Linked DNA regions of Nothobranchius furzeri. The protein of the gene in region 2 purifies or fractionates together with the protein of the main gene of each other region. This does not show direct contact. Links are inferred from orthologs where the notes say so. Each region holds a gene or a part of one and is shown on either strand. Other genes may lie near its edges.

Region 1 (3,447 bases), on a different chromosome or scaffold from region 2:
TGAATAAAAACACACCTGACTGTATTTATCATCACCTGATTCACTGATGTGCAAATTATGTTTAAGTTGTGAGCCAATAAAAAAAAAAGATGAGTGAAATCAGTGGAGTTTTTGACTTAATGAAAAATGCAAGAGGAGACCCAAAGGGTTGGATCCTCTCGGGTTTAAGTTGGGACTCGTAAAGTTCCAACTCACAGGTCATTACATCCGCTGCTGCTTTGCATTAAACACTCCAGTAATTGCTGACTCCGTTGGAAGCTCTGAACCTCATTTTTCCTGCCACACATGCATGTCTGTCTCAAAACCTCCACGGGCAAAAATCACGCAGCAGGAGGACGAGTTCAAAAACACAACAAAACGATGAGTTAGCAACAAACACTAAAGCTGCTAGAGCTGCAGCTCCACGTAGCGAAGCTTTCATGAGCTCCTTTAAACCTGCAGCTGTGTTATTACCACCATGTGTGTTTTCTTATTAATGCATTCAAACAACAGACACGAGGTTCCATGAAAAAAAAAAAACAAGATCATTTATTACAGAAACAGTAAAACAAACGGAGTAAAATTAGATCAAGTCCATGTACAGTGACCCAGAGAGTTAAAAGAGTTTGTATGGATTGACTATTGAATCGTGTGCTCTGAGATACACTCGCTGTTGAACTTTGTGGGGGAAAGCTGCGTAAGAGTTTCTTTTAGCTCATCAAAATACAACCAAACAAAAAAACAAAGAAGAAGGTGGAGGAGTTGGTGCGTTTTTGTCTCTCAGCTCAAAAGAAAAGTCCTCTCATCCTTCGGCCGATGCCCTGCCGGTCGTACAGGACGTTGAACTTGTTGATGAACTGGTTCATACTGTTGCAAGTCTTGGTGATGGTGCCTAAGTAGGCCATGAGGCCCACGTCATTACATTGCTGCAGGATCAAGGGGAAATAGGAACATATCAAATCTGGACTTTTGCTTACATAAATGTTGATATTTTGCTCACAAACAGCCAGCGTCATGTTTAGATGGTAGAAAACAAACCTGAAAATCTCTTTTTCTTACTCACATTAAATAAACACAACGACAGCCCCATGTTTGCCCTGCTGCTTTGAGCTTTACCCAGGTTTAGGCTCATTTTTCTCTATTATAGGAATAAATAGCTTCTAATAATTTCCGTGCTCTCCTGTACTCTTTCTACATCAACATTTAGCTCAGTGTTCATTTTAAAACTCATAAATAGGTGTTCATTAACTAAATCTTTGCGCTTTTTCTAAAAAACCTAAAAATCTAGTCATGAAACATGAATATTTCTGAATTACAACCAAGTTTACTCACGTCATAGAAATCCGTTTTGAACTTTATGGTGCTGAGGACCGGCAGTCTGTGGCAGAGGGCGTTAGCTTCACGAAGGATCTCGTGGTTAAACGGCACCTCTCCTGTTACACACACAAACACACACGCATCACATGCACACACACACATGCATGCACACACAGGAAAAATAACTTAAAAAGCATATAATAATGTGTTGGGATCATGTTTATTTACAAAAGGGCTTGTACGTGTGTGTGTGTGTGTGTGTGTGTGTGTGTGTGTGTGTGTGTGTGTGTGTGTGTGTGTGTGTGTGTGTGTGTGTGTGTGTGTGTGTGTGTGTGTGTGTGTGTGTGTGTGAAGACAAGAGGGGAAGAACCTAGTGAGAACAGCTGCTTAACTGATGTATTGAGACATTTTTCCCCTCGGAGCCTCATAAACGTGTCTCTCACCTGCCTCGACGGCTTTGACGTATTCTAGAATTATCTTCACTCGGCTGTGGAGCATCTTTATTGCGCTGTGCTGAGCTATAAGGTGTTCAGCCACTGACAGAGGAAAGAGAACAATAAACACATTAAAAACAAACACAGTCAGTTAGAATAACCTTTCTCAGTGGCCGAGTGGTAGAGTGTCCGCCCTGAGACTGGGAGATCAGGGTTCGATTCCCGGTCGGGTCATACCAAAGACTTTGAAAAAATGGGACCCAATGCCTCCCTGCTTGAGACTCAGCATTAAGGGGTTGGATTGGGGGGTTAAACCACCAAATAGTTCCCGAGCGCGGCTGTGTCTACTGCTCACCGCTCCCCCCAGGGGATGGGTCAAATGCGGAGAACAAATGTCGCACACACACCTGTGTGTGTGACAACTAATGGGACTTTGACATCAGACACATCAGAGTGGTGACTAACAACCTGCCTCTTCCTCACTCGCCTTGACTCTGAACCAGCTGCTGGTGTGTATTCGTCTCTCAAAGCATCTCATGACCCACATGGTGGGTTTTATCGAAACTCTGATGTGTATTTACAATTAAATTAGCTTTAGAGTCCATTAAAGATGGCCGTCACAGCTAATCAACGTTAGCAAACACGAAGATGGATGTAACTTAGTGAAGTTTACAGATATTGAGCTAAACTTGGTGTAAGTAACAGAGTCATAAACACAGACTAACAAATCAAACAAAATAAATAAATACTGAATTAGATCCCTGTTTGGCCTGGCTTGTTCTCCTCACCTGTGGAGTTTTCTCCGGTGCCGGTGGCTGTCATTCGAGCTACATGATCAACACCGATTCTCTCTGCCTCCTCTGTGGCTAAAGTGTAAGTCAGCTCAGCAAACAACATGGTAGCCTGGGTGGCAACAAAAGAAAACCACACACAGAAATGTTAGTAGAGAACAAAATTATTGTGAAAAGAAGTTTTTCAACTGAGCAGGACGTACCTCGCCACTGATGATGTCAATCACAGATTCATAAACACTAACAGGAAGCTGAAGGAGAAAGGAAACACTTTTTAAAACCCGTCTGATTGCTGCTGCTTCACCGATGCACCGAGGATAAACTTACGTCAGTGTGTTTGGTCATTGGGTTGAGCTTCAGGAAGAGTGGACTCTCAATGATCTCACACACCTGGCAGCAAACACACACGTATACAACAAAAGTATTATAAACACTTATTAATAACAAAACTCATGAGTGTGTGTGTGTGTGCCTGCTCTGTCTTCTCGATCCCCAGTGAGTCGTGGAGGATGGCTGCTTATACTGAGCCAGGATTCTCTGGAGGTTTCTTCCTGTTAAAAGGGAGTTTTCCTCTCCACTGTCGCTTTATGCTTGCTTAGTATAAGGATTGCTGTAAAGTCACTGACACTAGTCAGTGACTTGATGCAATCTGCTAGGTTCCTTATACAGGAAACATTTTACTGATTGGCTTAATGAACTGACCTGTATTCTAAAATCACTCAACAAGTTACAGTTAGTCCAAAATTCAGCTGCCCGGATAATCACCAAGACCTCCACTTTTGATCACATTACCCCTTCACTGGCTCCCTGTCAAGTACAGAATTGACTTCATGCCTTCTTCATGCCTTTAAAGCCATCCATAATCTCTGCTCCCCCATATCTTTCTAATCTCCTCCACATTGTCACTCCCACTCGCTCTCTCCGAT
Region 2 (3,500 bases):
ATTTGGTCTAGTTCACTAGGCTAGATGTCTCATGCTCCCTGAACCACTCTTTCACTATCTGAGCCTGAATGAATCCTGGCATTGTCATCTTGGAATATGCCCGAAGAAAACGTCCATCGATGGAATAACCTGGTCATTCAGTATATTCAGGTAGTCAGCTGACCACATTCTTAGAGTACATCCTGTTGCTGAACCTAGACCTGACCAACCGCAGCAACCCCATATCATAGCACTTCCCCCACAGGCTTGTACAGTAGACACTAGGCACGATGGGTGCATCACTTCATCTGCCTCTCTTCTTACCCTGATGCACCCTCACTCTGGAACATGGTCCATCTGGACTCATCAGACCAGTTTTTAATAAAGCGTTGGACAGTTCTTTACCCATTGTAGTCGTTTCGACAATTTCAGATGTTTTCTCTGCTTGATGCCAATGATCTGACCCTTCTCAAACAGACTAACATCTTTTCCACGACCACCAGAGGTGTCTTTCCACATGGTTGTTGAAGAAATGAGAAGCAACTCAGTGCACCAGTTGGGGTTAAATAACTTGTTGCTGGAGGCCTGTGCCTCTTTGCTTACTTAAATCCAGGTGGCCACCTTTTTGGGGCTAGGTAGTGTATATTCATTTTTTATAACTGATATAGATTTTTTAACTTACATTTGTGTGTTCCAGGTAGGACAGGGTTATCCCCATGACCCCCCTAAGGTAAAGTGTGAGACGATGGTGTATCATCCCAACATCGACCTGGAGGGAAACGTCTGCTTAAATATCTTAAGGTCTGTCTCTGTGTGTCGTCTGAGGTTAAGGTTTATTTAAGGCCCGGTGGATCATGTGAACCAACGGGAGCTTGATTTACATACATTTGGTTTAACAACATCAATGGTTATAACAGAAATCTCCTGATTGGCTCAACTTGTAGCAGCATCAGAGAGCCTTTGAAACAGAAAATGATACAGACCGTGGCAGAGGGGTTAGGTGCTGGCCCCGTAACCCGAGGGTTGCAGATACAAGGTCTGCTCTGTCACAGTCGTGTCTTTGGGCAAGACACTTAACCTTCCTTGCCTGATGCTGGTGGTCAGAGGGACCAGTGGTGCCTGTGCTCAGCAGCCTCGCTTCTGTCAGTGTGGTCCAGGGAAGCTGTGGCCAATGTTTAGCTCTGTACTACCAGCGTGGGAGTGTGTGTGTGCATGGGTGAATGACTGGTTGTGTTGTAAAGCATCTTGGGGGGTTGTAGAACCCTAGAAGGTGCTATATCAAATACAGACCAATTACCATGAAAGATTTCAGTGTTTTTTCTGTCATAGAAGCCTTAAATCTAAGTGGATTTTAAAGACGAGGACTTAATTAAACACAAAGTTGACGAGGATTTTGTTTGTTTGTGTCTCTGGTTGTCATCCACAGAGAGGACTGGAAGCCCGTGTTGACAATAAACTCCATCATCTATGGTCTACAGTATCTATTTCTAGTGAGTTAAACTCTGATTCTTTCACTGTTTGTTTAAAGTCAGAGTCTCTGTGAGGGAATGACTTCTAGCATCAAAATTAAAATATAATTCACTGTCAGTAAAAATAATGAGAATGCAAAAGAACAAGTAGAGGCTGGGAAATTTAAAAGCTGGTTCCGCATTCTCGTCAGAATCCCAGTTTTGGTCCAGAACTCTTGATCCAATCCCCACCTATCTGTTTTCCTTCCCAGCAGCCAGTCTTTCTTGCTATTTGTGGTTCTGTGATTCTTTTGTCTTTTAAAGGGGCCAGATCCTTGAAAATCCACTTTTTGGAGCTTGTTACCATGTGATATTGGCATTTCCTCATGAGAAATACTCCCCAAACCCTTTTTGGTTGCATTCATGCCTTTTCCTGCCTCAGCTTCAACTTTGTCCATGTAAAGATTTGTCCTGCGTCCAGGAGAAAGTAGCCCACTTGTGTCATCAGGCATCTCTCCTCCCCCTGAATCTGGTCTGGTCTTGACACAGTTGCAGCTCCCCGCTCCCCACAGGGATGGGTCAGATGCAGAGATGTAGTTTCACCAGTGTGTGATGATGACTTTAACTTTAAAATGCTGAAGCCTAAGATGCTGACATACAGAAGGTGCGTTTTGTCAGAGCGGATGGAGTTTTACTGAAATTGATTGTTTTATTTCCCCGTATAAATTCAGGCTGATGAAAAAAAATTCATATTTAAGATCAATTACATGTCAATAGTGCCAACGGTAATATTTAATCATAAACTGTGCCTACCTTTGCTCTCAAAGGCACAAGTGTCAAACTCGGGCCCTCGGGTCAAATCTGGCTTGTGGTCTATTTAAATTTGGTGCATTTACCACAAAGACTACAAATCCCAGAATGCTTTGTGACGTTAGCGACGTCAGTCGAAGCACCCCCTCCTTTTCTGTTTATAGTCATTAGCGTCCGTGCTACCAGCGTCGACATCTGCAGCCGTACCTCCTCAGTGATGGAGAAACTGAAGATCCTCCTCTTACTAGCCCAAAAATGGAGGCTCTGACTGCTCAGTAATGTTTGCGGGTGACGTGGAAAGCACACCAACCAACCTCCAGATGGAGCTAAGCGAACTCCAGTGTAGTGACAAGCTCAAGTCAAAGTATAACTGTGGCTGCTGAATAATTATACCAGGATTTTTGAGGTGAATAGTGAGTTATTATTATGATGATGATCACTATTATTATCTGTAAATATCTTCCCTTTTTTTGTTTGTTTTTATTGCCTTCTTGTGTTCTTGTATAACTTGAGTTGAACATTCATCAGTATAGCTTGTGTGTAAATTAATAACCTATAATTAGAAAAATGTTTGACCTCCTTTGCCCAGATATTATTACTTCTATGTTCCACCTAAGAAAACGCCTCTTCAGTGATTTAGTTTCTTTGTTTTATAATTTTGTAAACGTTGCATTTCAGCTTTGATGTTTTGTAGGGATGTACCGAAATGAAAATCCTTGGCCGAAACCGAAAACCAAAGCATTAGAAGGACTGTAAAATTAACAAGTCGCTGTGATGGATAGGAGTAGTCTCGGATCACGTGGTGTCTATCGATTGTTATTTACCTGTTGCGCACCTGCGTGGGAAGGCTGTTATAATGAGCTGGGGTCTCATTTATCAAACATGGCGTAGAATCCTTACTAAAACCGTACTTAAGCTCAGCAAAACAAATGTACTTACGCCAAGCAGGTGTGTGACCTATCAAACATGGAGGACGCACAGCTGCACTCAATCTCCGCTTCATAAATCAGAGACTAACGGGAATGTTTCTCAGCTGCTTTTTAGTCACATCCCGCCCTCACCACGCCCACTTACTGCCATAAATAGTCAATGCAAAGTGCCTTGTGGACCTCATGCATACACATAAGCCGGCTGTTGCAGCGCTCCGCCAATGACATGGCGACCGTAGATCAAGGCAGATCAAGGAAGCTCTATTTCACAGAAGCAGAAGTTGAGGTACCTGTGGGTGAGGTGGAGAAATGAAAGCAGGGATGGACATTAACT

The links. The genes of interacting proteins can lie anywhere in the genome.
Region 1: the proteins of ube2m (region 2) and cops6 purify together in Homo sapiens (affinity purification with mass spectrometry; 3 studies listed by BioGRID and IntAct, counting the BioPlex papers as one, with this or other methods). This does not show direct contact. The link is inferred for Nothobranchius furzeri from reciprocal best matches to the Homo sapiens genes UBE2M and COPS6.

The regions. Positions count from the first base shown.
Region 1 is NC_091741.1:79,983,924-79,987,370, forward strand, and holds the end of cops6 (COP9 signalosome complex subunit 6), read right to left. Parts: intron 2,912-3,447; coding exon 2,849-2,911; intron 2,773-2,848; coding exon 2,725-2,772; intron 2,634-2,724; coding exon 2,519-2,633; intron 1,833-2,518; coding exon 1,740-1,832; intron 1,413-1,739; coding exon 1,312-1,412; intron 906-1,311; coding exon 765-905; 3' UTR 501-764; downstream 1-500. UniProt on the Homo sapiens protein: Component of the COP9 signalosome complex (CSN), a complex involved in various cellular and developmental processes.
Region 2 is NC_091745.1:29,846,255-29,849,754, forward strand, and holds part of ube2m (NEDD8-conjugating enzyme Ubc12), read left to right. Parts: intron 1-676; coding exon 677-780; intron 781-1,405; coding exon 1,406-1,469; intron 1,470-3,500.